Rattus norvegicus: one gene and its partners. The protein of the gene in region 2 purifies or fractionates together with the protein of the main gene of each other region. This does not show direct contact. Links are inferred from orthologs where the notes say so. Each region holds a gene or a part of one and is shown on either strand. Other genes may lie near its edges. The genes, in order: Cdk19, Med1, Polr2j and Cdk8.

Region 1 (4,335 bases), on a different chromosome or scaffold from region 2:
TTCTGCAAGTTAAATCGGCACAAACCGGATTAGTGGCACTATCTAGGCTGGCTCCAAAGTCCTGGGTTCAAGAGATTCTCCTTGACTCTGCTAAGAGCAGCAGGGACTACAAGTGTGTGCCACCATGCCTGGTCTAGTATGCATGGGAGTCCTACACGATGAAGTCGAAAAGCTAGATGATTAAAGCTCAAGACATACAGAAAGGAACAAGAATTGGAAATTTTAGTAGGTAGCAGAGATAAATGAAGAGAGAGGGAAGGAAATGAAGAGGGAATAATAAGTCGATTCTTTTAGATGGCCTCCCGGGCAAGGTTGTCTACGAATAGCTAAGCTGCCTTTCTGACACAGATACCTTATCAAATTTCCCTTATAAATTTAACCTTGTTACAAAAATGCTGCCTTTTATTTTAGGTAGTGGAGGGGAGCTGAAACGTGCGTGTCAGATGGATATCAATTCTTTTCGTTTAAAAGCAATCAGTGTGCAGAGGGACACATTTTTAGCAAGGCACTTTCCAGGCTTTTACAGTCCTACTTTGAGGTGACGGGTTCCGAGCTTCAGACACCATAACGAATGAACATCATGAGTAAGATAAATACCTAAAGCCCCTAGGTGAGCCTTGCCATTACGCACAGACTGTAAAAAACGCTTTACAAGCCAGCAAAAATGATTGTTTCTAAAACGCTGCATTTTTGCAATCTTCCAGGCGCTTTAATTGTTCTCAGACAGATGGTTAAAGCTCGGCTACCGCACCCGCATATGCTAGGATAAAACCCGACTACAGCGCCAAGAAAAAGATGATTGGCTGTGGGCCCTAGAAGTTACACGGTTCTCCTAGCAAGAGCTGAGAAACCGCTGAATGTTCAGGTTTTGAAATAGGGTTTTTGCATCGTAAAGAAACAAGATTAACCTATCAGGAAGAACCGAGCACATCCAATTACCAATCAAGAGCGGGACAAAAGCCAAAGCCGGAGGATACCCAGGCACCAAAGAGGACGCCACTCTTCAGTCTCTGCCAATAAGACGAGGCAAGGGGCGGGGCAACAAGAGGATCAATTGCCCAAGAAAACAAACAATGTGTAGTACAACTGTCTAAACCTCAGTCCTAAGCTCCGGGTGCGACGGAATGAGCTCCTGAGCAAGGCTCTCATGAGCTGCTTGCCGCTCTTCTAGCCCAAGGATTGTCAGAGCCAGGTTGCTTCTTCCCGGCTCAACAAACGCTTCCTTCCCGCCAGCTCCCACAGGCTCGCAAAAAGCCCGCTGCAACTTTGCGCTACAGTTTACAGGAACAGGGAGTCGCGCGCTACCTGAGGGGGTGGGGCGGCGGCAGTGCGCAGGCGTACACGCCTTGTGGAGGCGAGGCCGAAAAGACTCAATGAACTCTGGGAATTGTATTCTTCGCGCTCGAGGGGGTAGCACAACTCACCAGGCCTCTTGAACTACACTTCCCAGGAGCGCTCGCGACGTCGGGGCGGGCCGTTTGGTTCGTTAATGAGTTCGAGAAAGCCGCGGCGCGGCCCACCAGGTTCCAAAACAAGGAAATGAAGGGAGGAGGCGGGACTGTGGGTGCCTGCGGGAGCCGCCGCCGCCGCCGCGGAGGAGGAGGAGGCGGAGGAGGTGGCTGCCGCGGCCGCCGAGGAGTCCCTTGCTGAAGGCAGACCGCGGAGCGGCGGGCGGCGCGCGCGCGCCCGAGCGACGGCTGTTCGAGAAGTGGAGCGGCGGCGGCGGAGGAGGGACTGAGTGGCGGCGGCCCCCGCGTCCCGGTTTCTCTATGGGGGAAGCAGACAATGGATTATGATTTCAAGGCGAAGCTGGCGGCGGAGCGGGAGCGGGTGGAGGATCTGTTTGAGTACGAAGGGTGCAAAGTGGGACGCGGCACCTACGGGCACGTCTACAAGGCGAGGCGGAAAGATGGGTAAGAGCGCGGGCGGGGAGTGGGCTCGTCCGGTCTCCTCCACTGCTGAGACCCGGAGGGCTGGGTGGGTCGGAGCCCACGGGAAGAGGCGGCGTGGGTCGCAGAGCGACGTCCTGGGGCCAACTCGGAGGCACTGGTGCTGCCGCCCCCCGCTGGCCGGTCGCGCCCCTCCAAGTCGCACAGCGTAGCCCCGTCGGGGGCGTCGGTCCCGCCTGGAGTCACTGTTGCGAGCTTAACAGCGGGCGGCGGGACCCGGTGGAGACCGCGCTTGGAGGTGGAGTTTAGGGGTCTGGTCCCGGGGGGACTCTCGAGGGCTTGGCTGAAGAGTTACCGGTTTGGCCCTGTGCTGGTGACGGTCGTGGTGGAACTTCCAATCGGCGCAGCGCCTTCCCGGGGCGGCGGTTTGAAAGCTCGCGGGGGCGCCTCCCGTCTGGTGGCCCTGCGCTTGGGGTCCTGACTGGCCCCTCTGGTCTGACTTCCTCGACGTTGCCAACCCAGCCTACATCCCTGGTGTTTACCTGGGGACTTCCCGATCCTGCTCCCGATTCCCACACTTTAATATTTTGAATTCAGCACTCTGAAGGTGGACCCTGGAGAGAGATTAGCTCTATATTACAAACTTCAAGTGCTCTCTGGTTGGTTACCTTTCCTGCCTCGTGATTATTTTAGGTAAACCCCTCCCCAGCCCTTATAAGATAGGGTCTCTCTCTGTGCACCCTGGTTAGCCTGCAACTCAGAGATCCGCCTGCCTCTGCCTCTCAAGTACTGTGATTAAAAGGCGTATGCCACCACACTCGGCCCATTTCTCTTTTCTTCAGGAAGAAATCTTGAGTATTAATATTCTCCAGTTCTCATCCTCTGTCAAATGGCTGTGAGCTTTGGTTTATCGAGAACCTAGACCACCAAGAACAGAAAACGGAAGTGACAGGCTTGGGCCTGGACCACCGTTTTCCTAGTTGAGGGGATCTATAGGAATCTCTTGGGAAGTCTTTCTGGATTGTTATAGCAGTAAAGGACAAGTTGGATAAAGCATCGAGAATGTACCCCTCGGGCCAGAGGGCAGACCAGTTTGTAAGAACAGGACAGGTGGAACCAAACTTGTGACCTGGCAGTGGTGGGTTTTGTCACCTTGTCCCAATTCCGGAAGGAATTCCTTTCTCTTAGAAAAAGATTCAAGCAACTGTCAGACTATACAAAAGGGAGACTGTGACTGCTGGAGCATTTGAAAAGCAGAGCATCAGCACACCTCATTGAAAGTGCTTCTTGGCTGTGCTTTGATAAAGTTGGTGAGGAGCTCCAGCATCAAAGCAAGCAGTGCGTTTGCTAATTTTATAAGAGGAAAACCAGAACACAATCATATGAAGTGTTTCATACATGTACCTGGAAAACTACAGGTAGTGTGTGGGTTTCAAGGATGATGATTAATTGCTGTTGCAGTAGAACTGTACAGGCCAGGCCACTCAGTTGTCTGAGCTGTTTCTTTTAATTACCACGTGTCCCCAAGTGCACACCGGGCGCTGTAAGGCACTATACTTGACTTACACTTTGGTTTTGGAATATCCACTCTACTGGTTAAGTTGGTGTTCCAGTGGGAATCTACACAGGATGTTCGGGGAAGGCAGATCCGCTGCTCTGATTGGACAGTGTTGTTACACTGTTGGTCTGGATTTTCCCTATCTCCCAGAGACTGTGCTAACTTTGTTTTTACACTTATGTTTTTATTTGCCCTGAAACTTTGAGAGAAATTAACAGTTCTGATTCTGAATTGCATAGAATGGCTGGGTTTACAACAGAAACACTTCTTATTTCTACTTATTTTTCAGTATGTCTCTATAATAAGGATATTGATTCAAATACACTTATTCTTTGAGTGAAATCGGTAAAGTAGAATACATAAGGTCAGTTTTTATATTTTCAAAGTAGAATTAAAAAACAAACAAAACATTTAGAGCTAGGCAAGCACTGGCAGTTGTCTGAGTTCCAGGCCAGACAGGCTACACAGAGAAACCCTGTCTCAACGAAACCAAACCAAAGCAAAAACCAACCAACAAAAACCGCCTAGAATATGAAAATATCTTGTCAGACCGTTGTACCACATGTTCTCACGTAAAACAAGCCATGATAGGCTTTATTTTTGTGGATCAGTGTCTGGTTACGATTCCTGGCTTTACACTAACACTTGCGTCTCTGGTGATTTGGCAGTGGGATTAGTTTTATGTTCATCACTAATCAGCCATTTGACAGAACAAAAGGTTTTAGTGGTAGTTCTCAAAGGTGACACAGATTTGGATGGTAAAGGATTCTATTGTCTGGTCATTCTAAATTACAGTCCCCTCTTTTTACATTTTGGTAAGCTCCGGGAAAATGAGTAGTGCTTGATGCTATTTTAGGGAGCAAGAGAGATGAGGCCTGCTAGAGAGAA
Region 2 (3,691 bases):
GTGCTGCTGCTTTCTCCTCAGGCCAGCCTCAGACGTACTCTGTAGCCGCCGCTTACATGATGCCTGGCTTTTGTTTTTTCCTGTGCTTTGTTCTGTTTTTGAGACTGAGTCTAAACTTGTAGCTGAGGTGGGCCTCTAACTCAAATCCATTTTTCTTTCTCATTCTGCAGAATGCTGGGTGGACACACAGGACCAGCATTCCTCTCTTTTTAGTGCTGAGATCTTTTTCCTACTTATGAGGTAGAAAATCTTTTTTTCTTTTTCTATTCCCAGTTCCTCGGTCTTTGGGAATGAATGCCTCAGTGACAATTGAAGGAACCTCTGCTATGTACAAACTCCCAATTGCCCCATTAATTATGGGGTCACACCCAGCTGACAACAAATGGTAAGATACAGTTTTAAAGTAGCGAAGTCTGTTTTTCAGCTTCAAGCGCAGTGTGAGCCATGTTTTATTTGTCTTGTCTTCCTGGAATGTTTAGATGTTGCCCTTTGCGTCCGTGCACGGACTTTACTCCTGTTCTTTACTGGAGTGTGTCTACTTGACACACACACTTGTACACATTTGTTTTTAAATCGTTTAATTTTTTTATTCTGTGTGTGTGTGTGTGTGTGTGTGTGTGTGTGTGTCCGCGCGCGTGTTGCCTGTATATTGTTCTTTGCACCATCTTTGTACCTGGTGCCATCAGAGGCTGGAAGAGGCCATTAGATCCTCTGGGGCTAATGATGGTATGAGCTGCCTCGTGGGTGCTGGGGATTGAATACAGGTCTTTTAGAATACCAGATAGCACCATTAAACACCAAGCTATGCCAGTATCCCCTGTAGACCATAGTCTTTGCTCTGAATAAATGAGTTGGAGTTTTGTGCTGGTTTTTGAACCCAGGACTACAAATACCTGCACACAGAGCTGGACCGTGAGCCCCACTGTACATACTTAATTAAGTACTTCACAATTAACAAGGTAATATATTTTGAAATTGCATCGAGGATAGTAGAAAAGTAAGCTTTTGATAGACCTTGTGGGTTTGTGTAATATATACATGTCTGAATAAATGTGTTCATAGTTTTCAAAATAGAAAATTTTCCCCTCTTCTTTCTTTGAAGGACCCCTTCTTTCTCTGCAGTCACTAGTGCCAACAGTGTTGATCTTCCTGCGTGTTTCTTCTTGAAATTTCCCCAGCCAATCCCAGTATCTAAAGCATTTGTTCAGAAACTGCAAAATTGCACGGGTAAGCTCTGTTTTTTAAAATGTTTGCCAGCCTGTAATAAAGGAAGGTTTACCTGTTAAGATAAAACTTGTTAAAGTGAGAGTGGAAAACATTAGACTATCTTAAACAGCTTACAGTCCTCAGGCCTCAAGGACGTGCTACTGAGTACAGGTGTTAGGACATTACTAGTAGGTAGTACTAGTGCTCTCTGAGAACTTTTGGATGTGGGTGAAGGCATGGAAAGTGCAAGAGAGAACAGTGGAGCTGTCTGGAGAGATGGCTCAGCGGCTAAGAGCACTGACTTCTCTTCCAGAGGTCCTGGGTTCAATTCCCAGCAACCACGTGGTGGCTCCCAACCATCTGTAATGAGATCCAGATCCAATGTCCCCTTCTGATGTGACTGAAGACAGCAACAGTGTACTCGTATACATGAAATAAATAAATCTTTTTTAAAAAATAATGTGACCATTATAAATAGTCCTTATATTTTCAGGAATCCCGTTGTTTGAGACTCCGCCTACTTACCTGCCCCTCTATGAACTCATCACTCAGTTTGAGCTGTCAAAGGATCCTGACCCTTTACCTTTGAATCACAACATGCGATTTTACGCTGTAAGTAGGCCCTGTGGGTTTGCAACAATGTTCTTTACAGCATTAGTCAGGTTGATGGCTTTCTTTTAGATGGCTTAATTTTTAGTTGGGCAAAAAAAAGTCATCTTAAACATACTAAAGCAAAAGAGAATGAGCTTTGAGTTCAGAAACAACCACCTACATTTCTGTCTATATCAATTTATGTGCATCAGTGTTTTGCTTATATTTGATTAAGTATATGTATAACCTGCATGCCTGGTGTCAAAGAAGTAAGAAGATACCTAAGTTAGCATTACGGACGTCTGTGAGTGGCCATGTGGATGCTGGGAACTGAACCTAGGTCCTTTGGAAGAGCAGCAAGTGGCTGTTAACCAAGGAGCATTCTTTCTTACCCTCTTTGTTCTAGACAGGTTCTCATGTAACCCAGGCTGGCATTGAACCTAGCAGAGGGTGATCTTAAACGTCCTCTAGGTTGCTGTGACTATAGGCATGATGAGAAGTGTTTACAGAGGAAGCCAGGACTGGTGGAACATAGTATATGGGGAGTGGAGGCTTAAGGATTCCTCGACTTAGGGGTAGCAAAACCTTTTCTCAAAAAAGCAATAGAAAAAATGTTGTATCAGAATTAAAAATCTTTTAATGCTGTCTTGAACTTTTAGAAGGTTGAAAGATATTAAGATTTTTTATTTTTGGGGGCTGGAGAGATGGCTCAGTGGTTAAGAGCACTGACTCCTCTTCCAGAGGTCCTGAGTTCAATTCCCAGCAACCACATGGTGGCTCACAACCATCTGTAATGGGATCTGATGTCCTTTTCTGGTGTGAACTAAGACAGCTACAGTGTACTTGTATATAATAAATAAATCTTAAAAAAAAAAAAAAGATTTTTCTTTTTATTCTTTTGAGGGCATGGTGCCACACCTTTATCCCTGCACTTATGAGGCAGAGGCAGGTGGATATCTGTGAGTTCAAGGCCAGCCAGGGCTATAGAGAAAAGCTCTTAGTTAGGATTTTATTGCTGTGAAGACACCATGACCAAGGCGACTCTTATAAAGGACATTTAATTGGGGCTGGATTACAGGTTCAGAGGTGTGGTCCATTATCATCAAGGTGGGAACCACGGCAGCATCTAGACCTGAGAGTTCTACATCTTCCTCCAAAGAACTAGAAGCAGGCTGTTTCCTGGAAGCTAGGAGGAGGGTCTCAAAGCCCACCCTCACAGTGACACTCTTCCAACAAGGCCACACCTCCTGATTGTGCTACTCCCTGAGGCATGCACATTTAAACCACCTCAGAAAGCCTTCTCAGAGTGGGAGGAAGAATTGTTTCTTAGGCCAAGTGTGAACAGTGAGGAACCCCCCACCCCTTTTTTAAAGATTTATTTATTTTATGTATATGAGTACACTGTCCCTGTCTTCAGACACACTAGTAGAGGGCATCAAATCAGATCAGAGATGGTTATTAGTTACTATGTGGTTGCTGGGAATTGAACTCAGTCCCTCTGGAAGAACAGTCAGTGTTCTTAACCACTGAGCCATCTCTCCAGCCCCAAGATCCTGTCTTAAAAGGGAAAAATGGTTCCTTTTAATTTACTATCTTTATGTATATGAGTGTTTTCCTTGCATTTGTGCCCACATGAAAGCCAGAAGAGGTTGTCAGATTCTCCTGAAATTGGAATTACAGACTGAACTGTCCTGTGGATGGATGGGTGCTGGGAGCCAAATCTAAGTTGTCTGAAAGAGCAGCATGGGCCCTTAACTGCTGAGCCATCTCTTCATCCCTAGCCCATTGAGTGCTACAGCAAGAACCCTTAACTACAGGGGGAGGACAAATGCTATGTATATAAATTATGAAAGGCCCCGACTTCCTATGGACTTGAATTTGATATGAATGCTTA
Region 3 (4,323 bases), on a different chromosome or scaffold from region 2:
GTCCACAATCAGGTCGTCCTCTGTTACACAGTCTGAGGCCAGCCTACACTACACAAGCCCCTGTGTCAGAAGCCAACACAGGAACAGCCTTCTGTGGACAGACCTGTGAGGCCAGGTTGATTTACTGGAGCACAGAGGAGAGTGGAAGACATTTGCAGGACATGTGCTCAGCCTACAGAGCCCTGGTGGTACTGGCAGAGTGTGGTACTCACCCAGTGTGGGGGGAGACTTACGATTTAATGATGTTCCCCAGAGTGTGGTCTTCTTTGTTGATGGTGAACAAGCAAGCGTTGGGCACCTTGGTGTCCTTGTTAATGGTGATTCTGGAAAGAGACAGAGGCAACAGCTCAAGCCCACATCCAGCCTTGGGATACTGGCCCTGAGCATCACAATGTCCCCATTTGTGCTCAGACATTCTTGAACCTGCAGTTGGGCTGTTCCCACTACCTCAGAAATTAAGGTACCTGGCCCTTCCCAACGTATGCGCTGACGAACAGTTCCCTTAAACTAGCTCTTGACTAAGTTCTTACTAAGAAGACAAGAACCAGCTGGCAGTGGTGGTGCCCACCTTTGATCCCAGCGTCTAGGAGGCAGAGGCAGGTGGGTCTCTGAGTCAGAGGCCAGCCTGGTCTACAGAGTGAGTTCCAGGACAGCCAGGGCTACACAGAGAACCCTGACTTGGGGGCAGGGGGTGTCAGGAGACACTTAACCCCTAACAATCAAGGCAGGCCCACATCCATCATTCTGCAAGTCCAAGCTCCACTAGACCCAGTGCTACTGGGAATTGAACCTTGGGTTTTGAGCATGATAGGCAGAGCCCTCAACCACTGAGCTATAGGTCTAGCTCTTGGAAGCCGTTTTCAGTCTGCTCACCCATTAAGGACCCTGCAAGAGCTCTGGCATGGTTCAATAGCCGACCATTTTCCTCCCATGTATAAGCCTCTGGGTCTCTCAGCTCTACCATTCCCAACATTCAAACAAAGTTGGCCTGCCTGGTAGATAAGACCAGTAATCCAGCAACCTGGGAGGCTAAGGCAGGAGGATAAAGAAAAACCTCAGCCGTCGTCCTGGCTTTTCTCTTTGCTTAGGCTAGGGTCTCATTTGCCATGGGGATAAACCATGCTAGCTGACCCTCCTGTAACCACTTCCCATGTCCTTGGAGGAACACTGGAAGCAGAACTCAGCAGTTTTTTTTTTTTGTTTGTTTTTTGTTTGGTTCTTTTTTTCGGAGCTGGGGACCGAACCCAGGGCCTTGCGCTTCCTAGGTAAGCGCTCTACCACTGAGCTAAATCCCCAACCCCGAACTCAGCAGTTTTTATACGACTTCTGGGGATCTACACACAAGTCCTCAGTAAATGTTTTACCCACTGAGCCATCTCCCGAACCGATCAAAAACTGTAAAATGGGGTTGGGGGTAGGGGGTGGAGCTGGAATATAGCTTAGCATAGAGCACCAACCTAGCATGGGGCAGACCCTATGTTCAATCCCCAAATGACAAAAGCAAACAAGAAAACACATCTGCCCTGTGCTGGCCTCCTATCTATACACCAGGGAGCAGTTACTTAAGCAGGTTTTGTTTTTGTTGGTTTTTTTTTTTTTGAGACGGCATTTCTCTGTGTGGCTCTGACTGTCCTGTAACTTTGATCTGTAGACCAGGCTGGCCTCGATCCTCTTGCCTCTGTCTCCCAAGTACTGGGATTAAAAGTGGGTTAAAATTCACCACTCAGGGGTTGGGGATTTAGCTCAGCGGTAGAGCACTTGCCTAGCAAGCGCAAGGTCCTGGGTTCGGTCCCCAGCTCCGAAAAAAAGAAAAAAAAAATTCACCACTCAGCTAAGGATTACTGCTTTTTTCTAAAGCAGAATTTTTCAAACTCAGTACACAAATATTTCTTTCCTTTGTCCACGCTCCTATAAGAGGACAGCCTGTGATCGTCAGCTCTCTCCTTGTACCATAGTGGTCCCAGGGTCATCAGGTCATCAGGTTTGCCTGTGGGCGCTGTACCCTAGCCATCCTGCCAGCCCGGGTCACAGGCATTTTGGACCCAATCCTCCTTTTCTGAGAGGCTGTCTACTACATCTAGGGTCGCTAACAGCATCTGTTGCCTCTACCCGCCGGCTGCCAATAGCAACCCACTCAGGACAACCAGAACCGCTTCCAGACATGGCCAAATGCTCATGCCGATGGGATAACAACAGGGCTCTCAGCTCTCAAGAAGGCTGAAGTAGCTATCAAATGTAAAACAAAAACCCCTGCATAGAAATCTCTTAGGGGGCAGGAGAGATGGCTCAGTGGTTAAGAGCACTGACTGCTCTTCCATGGGTCCTGAGTTCAATTCCCAGCAACCACAGGGTGGCTCACAATCATCTGTAATGGGATCTGTGCCCTCTTCTGGTGTGTCTGAAGAGAGCAACAGTGTACTCAGATAAAATAATTTAAAAAAAAAAAGTCTTTAGGGAATACAAAGTGTCAGTTACAGGTCTGCAGTGTACACTGTACACTGTTCAGACAAACTCGGAAAATCTCCTTGGGGAGTTTCATTATTTATTGATTGGCTGATACAGACATGAGGAGTGTAAGGAACTGTGTCTTTGTCCTTTCACAGCTGCCATCATGAGCCAAGTGTCTGGAGCAAGTCAATGTCCCAAAGCCTCAGTTTCCCACTGCAAAAAATGCATGCATTCGCAAATGCTTCGCACCACTGCCTGAAGTTGGGCAGACACGCACTGAGCAGAACAGAATGCTCAAAGCAAAGCCCGCCTCGGTTTCCCCAGGCAGGAGCAACTCGGCGCTTTGCTGAAGCTGACGGCCGGCAGGCTCCTATACAACCGTCCCCGCCTCAGCCGGTCTCCACTTACTTCTTCTCGCCCTCGAAGAGCAAGAACGACTCGAAGGCCGGAGGGGCGTTCATCCTAGCAAGGCGCTCTCACTCCCAGACACCAACCCGCAGCCGCCTTCCGCCCACAGAACCCCGGAGCGCGACCACTTCCGGGTTACTCAGCCTCAGCCTCAGCCATTCAGAGTAAGCACCTGGCCCTGCGCCCCCTGGCGGGCCGGATGACCTTACGCAGGCGCGGGCAAGGCCCAGGAGACTGCGAGCTGTGGGCATGCGTCAGTCTAGAAGCCCTGTCTGAGTGTCTTGGCGCATACTCCAGCGCCGGGACTTATACCACTTGTTACTGTCTCCGTTTCACCGACTGAATGGGAATAGGAGTCCCAGTGGCTGCCGCTGCAGGACCCCCGGGTGGGCCGACACTAGCGTCCTTATGAAGCCTTCTAGATGAGGACCAGGGGAACAGGAAGGTGTGTAAAGGTTGGGGAGGAGTTTGAGGATGCCAGTGCATCCTCTCTTGAGCACACAGATAAACTAAAAACACGATGAAAGCTTTGCACCTCGCCATTTTTCAGCAGTCTCTGTGGCAGTCTTTTTTATTTTTCCTGTTTTTAAAGATTTTTATTTGCATGTCTGTGTGGGCACGTATATGTAGGTCTAGCCTTTGGAGACCATAAGAGAGTGGGGTCCACTGGAGCATGAGTTACAGGTGGTTGTGAGCCCCACCACCACCAAGTGGGTGCTGGGAATCGAACTCCAGTCCCCTGCAGAAACAGTAAGGCTCTTAACTGCCGAGCCATTTCTCCAGCCTTCGTGATGGTTCATCTTGAAATTTAGAATTACCGCGGAAACAAACCTCTAGGAGGGGCCAGCAAGACAGTCCAGTGAGCAAGGGAGAGTGTGACCAAGCCTGATTACCTAAATTCAGTCCTCAGGACCCACGAGGTGGAAGTTGGGAACAGACTCCTCCAACCTCCCTTCAAGGCATGCACTTGAACACGTATGCACTCACAATGCATAATAATAATCGTAGTCATAATAATAACAACGAAAAAATAAAAAATAATAACAACGAACTTTTGGTTATGTCTTTGAGATTTTAGACAGGTTTGGCTGAGGAAGGCATCATTAATGTGTGTGGCATCACCCGAGAGGCTAAGGTGTCAGACTACAGCTTCCTGGCTGCAGACACAATCAGCTGCTATGAATCCTGTTGCTATGACATCTGCATTGTGATGAGCTGTACCTTTCCGTAAGATGCTTCTGTCCGTTTGTTGTCGCTGTCTTGGTTTTGTTGGTTTTTCGAGACAAGTGTTTCTGTGCAGCACTGGCTGTCCTGAAACTTTCTCTGTAGACCAGGCTGGCCTCGAACTCAGAAAACTGCCTGCCTCTGTCTCCAAGAGTGCTGCCATTTAAAGGCATGGGCCACCAGCACTTTTGTCCAGTTTTTAGACACAAAAACAAAAACAGTAACTAATACAGACTCAGGCTC
Region 4 (3,691 bases), on a different chromosome or scaffold from region 2:
CTTACCTCTTTTCTTCTATTTTGGGCTTGTGCTTCTCCATTTTGCTAAGTGGTTTATTGGCTTGTAAACTCTTCTTTCCTACTATAAATATTTAAAATTATAATTCCCTCCAACCTGTGTTTTACTTTCATGCCACACGTTTTGTGATGTTTTATTGTTTTATTATAGTACAGAATATTTTCAGTTTTCTTTTTTTCTTTCTTTGTATCCATTAGTTACTTAGAAATCAGTTGCTTACTTTATAAATGTACAAGGAGGCTTTTCTGGATACGTTATCATTGCTGGTTGTTATTGATTTTCATTGTGTTGAGAAAAGATTGCTTTTGAGGTACGTACCGAGATGCTGATGAAATGGTATATATACTATCTGGTGGAGAGAGGAATGAACTTGAATGTACATACAGTGACTGTAAGTGACAGGCTTAACTCAGGGAGACCGTGTAATAAAAGGCAAGGGAGGAAACCAAGTCCATCTTTGTTTGCCCTGACACCTCCTCTTACTAACATGCTCACACTCATTCAGTTTTTTCATATCTATTACAAATAAAAATCTTAGGATTCCCGTTGTTCGTTGTGATCTGTTGCCACCCCTATGCAGGCTAGACTGTGACACACAGCAGCATGGCTTAGATTTTGTGCAGCCATTCTTCAGGAAGGAGGAGAGAACCTTCCAGGGGAGGTGTCCTCACAACACTTCCATTTTGCTGTTTGTCACATTCCTCACCAAAGTTTCCTGTGGACTGGAATCCCTTTAGTTCAGGGTTCTGGCCAACTGTGCAGAAATCAGCTGGCCCCCAGTATCCCAGAGAGTGTCTGATAGATGGTGCAGGCCCATGGTTAGTCTGCTTTCCCAACACACTTCTCCAACCTCAGCATCTGTTTCCATCTTTTTCTAAGAGTTTGGGAAGATCGAAGTTAAAGAAAGAGTCTACAGTGTAATTGTCTTTTGGAAATAGATTTGTCATAATTCAGGTTCGGTTTATCTATCACCGTACTCGAGGTCTACATTCAGAACCTGTTTTTGCATTAGGAGTTGTTAATGTTGGAATGGTGTCAGAGGTGGAGACGGTAGTTGGTAACATACTTGCCTCCCGGTCACTGAGACCTGTCGAGCTCTCGGGATTCAAGTAGAAATGACTGCCAGTGCTGTGGCGGGGCAGGCTTGTCATCCCAGTGCTCAGGGAGTAAGACAGGAGGCTCCCTGTGTCCTCCCGCTGTCCAGCCTTGCACTGGTGAGCTTCTAGCCCATGAGAGACCTTGTCTCAGAAGGAGGTGAGGTGGGTAGCAGACCTGAGGATGACCCCAGAGGTTGTCTTCTGGCCTGCACACACACATGCACTCCACATGTACTCCACAAACTTAGAACTCTTTAAGAAACACTGCTGTTTTGAAAATATAACTAGTTTTCCTACCTACTTTTTCCTCATTTCTGAGTGGCATATATTGTCGTGGTGTGCTTTTAAATATTTTTTGTACAAGTTTAAGTTAAGTATGCCCATTGTGGTAAATCAGGTTCACAGTGAATAATAAATTTGAAGTAGATATATATTCAAAACATTTAAAAATTTTCCCCCACTGGTAAAATTGGAAAAGCAAGTGGTTTCTGTGAATAAAGTTGGTATGGCTATACCTTTTGTTTTGTGAAGATTAACCAGTTCTTTAAAAAATGAAAAAAAAATTCTATTAAAGGCCAGTTTAGTTCCCGGGACCCACCTGTCTCCACTGACCGCTCCTCAGTACACATGTGCGCTGTCGTGTCGGTCTTCCTTTTTTTTTTTTTCCCCCGGAGCTGGGGACCGAACCCAGGGCCTTACGCTTGCTAGGCAAGCGCTCTACCACTGAGCTAAATCCCCAACCCCGTGTCGGTGCATTTTGATGGCTTTATCAGAGTACAGTACAGTGAGGAGTGTCTCCATATAATGGGATGAATGCTCTTACCTATAAAAAAGGAAAAATCAAAACCAAAACCCCTGCTACATGCTACAACATGGGTGGACCTTGAAGATAGCACTGAGTGAATGAACTAGATGTGAAAGGATGAGTGATGCTGGGTGGATAAACAGCTTTCAAGGTCCTGTTTGACCCCTAGAACCTACAGAAAAGCTAGGCATGGCTGTACCTGCTGGCGCTTACAATCCCAGTTCAGAGGAGGAGGTAGGAGCACAGATTCCTGGGGCAACAGCCAGCCCGGCCTCAGTGGTAAATTTCAGGCCACTGAGAGCTCCTGTCTCAGGGAGGGAGGGAGGGAGGGAGAGGTGGGCTGGGGAGACGGCTCAGTGGTAAAGCCCTCGCCGCTCTTCTAGAGGACCTGAGTTTGATCACCAGAACCCACATCCGGTGATTTATTTCTCTAGCTCCACAAGTAGCAGATACACATGCACACATAAAATCAACCAGTCACATGGGCACCGCAGGAGTGAGCCAGAGCTCTCCTTCCTCCCACTGGGGGTTACAGGTCCGTGCCTGCGCACATGAGGAAGATGAGGTGTTATGAGAACCCACCATGGCTAGGTGTCTACCACAGGAACTCTTAGGGACAGGTAGTAGAGTTTACCTAGACCTGGATCAGTGGTAGCATTTTCTACTTGGAATGTTTAAAAATGTGTAAATAGTAGTGATGGTTCTACAACACTTATATTTAATGCCACCCATTTGTAGATTTTAAAGTGGCTAAAACTGTAATCTTGGTTAAAAAGTTAAAACCAAGTCAAGCAGCAAATGACAGATTTACTGTTACCCTCTTTTCAGTGTCTTCTTCTGTCATGAAGCACCTGTGTAGCAGTCATACTGAGTGGGTGCTGATTGAATGCTTAGTATCAGTGAGCATTGACTTGCATTGCTTTTACGTTGCAGCTGGTCTGGGTGGGTGGGTGGCTGGGTAGTGTCTGGGATGGAGCCCGGCTTTGTTGCCCAAGCTAACTGTGGATTCCTGATATCAAGTAATCTTTCTGCTTGAGCATTCATAATCTGAGACCTTTGTTCACTTCCTAGCAGCCAGGTAGAAATGGCTGCCACGGCGGTAGCAGACATATTATATCCTTGTGTACATGTATGCACTACCACACCTAATTTGTGTGTGTGTGTGTGTGTGTGTGTGTGTGTGTGTGTGTGTGTGTGTAGTATTATTTTGTGTTAAATTTTGAATGGATCTCCTTTGTTTTGTAGTTACTTCGAGAGCTTAAGCACCCAAACGTCATCTCTCTTCAGAAGGTGTTTCTGTCTCATGCTGATCGGAAAGTATGGCTTCTCTTTGACTATGCTGAACATGACCTCTGGGTAAGGTGGACTGCTGGTAGACAGGCCATTGTTTTCAGTTAGGCTTGAGAGTGACTAAACAGCTTCCACTGCACTAGAAATCACTTTACAGAGTAACAGTCGATGTATTCCCAGCCTGGAGGCTTTTGCTTTGTTCAGTGGGTTGAGCTCCCTTACCACAATGCTAGACAGCAGAAGTGTCTCAGAGTTTTGATGTTTCAGATAAGAGGGCACTTACTTGCACCTATTTAATAAGACCTCTTGGAGACTGACATCATGTCTAAACTTGAAGCTCACTTGTGTTTTAATTTCATATTTACCTTATACATATAGCCTGAAGGAAATTTCATGCATCGTTTATAATAATCTTGTATGTGAAACAAAGTTTCACTCTGTGGAATCATGTTAGCTTTCAAAAAGTTCTGAAATTTGAAGC

The links.
Region 1: the proteins of Med1 (region 2) and Cdk19 purify together in Homo sapiens (affinity purification with mass spectrometry; 7 studies listed by BioGRID and IntAct, counting the BioPlex papers as one, with this or other methods). This does not show direct contact. The link is inferred for Rattus norvegicus from reciprocal best matches to the Homo sapiens genes MED1 and CDK19.
Region 3: the proteins of Med1 (region 2) and Polr2j purify together in Homo sapiens (affinity purification with mass spectrometry; 3 studies listed by BioGRID and IntAct, with this or other methods). This does not show direct contact. The link is inferred for Rattus norvegicus from reciprocal best matches to the Homo sapiens genes MED1 and POLR2J.
Region 4: the proteins of Med1 (region 2) and Cdk8 purify together in Homo sapiens (affinity purification with mass spectrometry; 14 studies listed by BioGRID and IntAct, counting the BioPlex papers as one, with this or other methods). This does not show direct contact. The link is inferred for Rattus norvegicus from reciprocal best matches to the Homo sapiens genes MED1 and CDK8.

The regions. Positions count from the first base shown.
Region 1 is NC_086038.1:45,323,385-45,327,719, forward strand, and holds the start of Cdk19 (cyclin-dependent kinase 19), read left to right. Parts: upstream 1-1,526; 5' UTR 1,527-1,785; coding exon 1,786-1,913; intron 1,914-4,335.
Region 2 is NC_086028.1:83,654,472-83,658,162, reverse strand, and holds part of Med1 (mediator of RNA polymerase II transcription subunit 1), read left to right. Parts: intron 1-273; coding exon 274-385; intron 386-1,102; coding exon 1,103-1,227; intron 1,228-1,699; coding exon 1,700-1,818; intron 1,819-3,691. UniProt on the Homo sapiens protein: Component of the Mediator complex, a coactivator involved in the regulated transcription of nearly all RNA polymerase II-dependent genes.
Region 3 is NC_086030.1:26,182,241-26,186,563, forward strand, and holds the start of Polr2j (DNA-directed RNA polymerase II subunit RPB11-a), read right to left. Parts: upstream 2,962-4,323; 5' UTR 2,910-2,961; coding exon 2,857-2,909; intron 324-2,856; coding exon 234-323; intron 1-233. UniProt on the Homo sapiens protein: Core component of RNA polymerase II (Pol II), a DNA-dependent RNA polymerase which synthesizes mRNA precursors and many functional non-coding RNAs using the four ribonucleoside triphosphates as substrates.
Region 4 is NC_086030.1:13,886,894-13,890,584, reverse strand, and holds part of Cdk8 (cyclin-dependent kinase 8), read left to right. Parts: intron 1-3,165; coding exon 3,166-3,276; intron 3,277-3,691.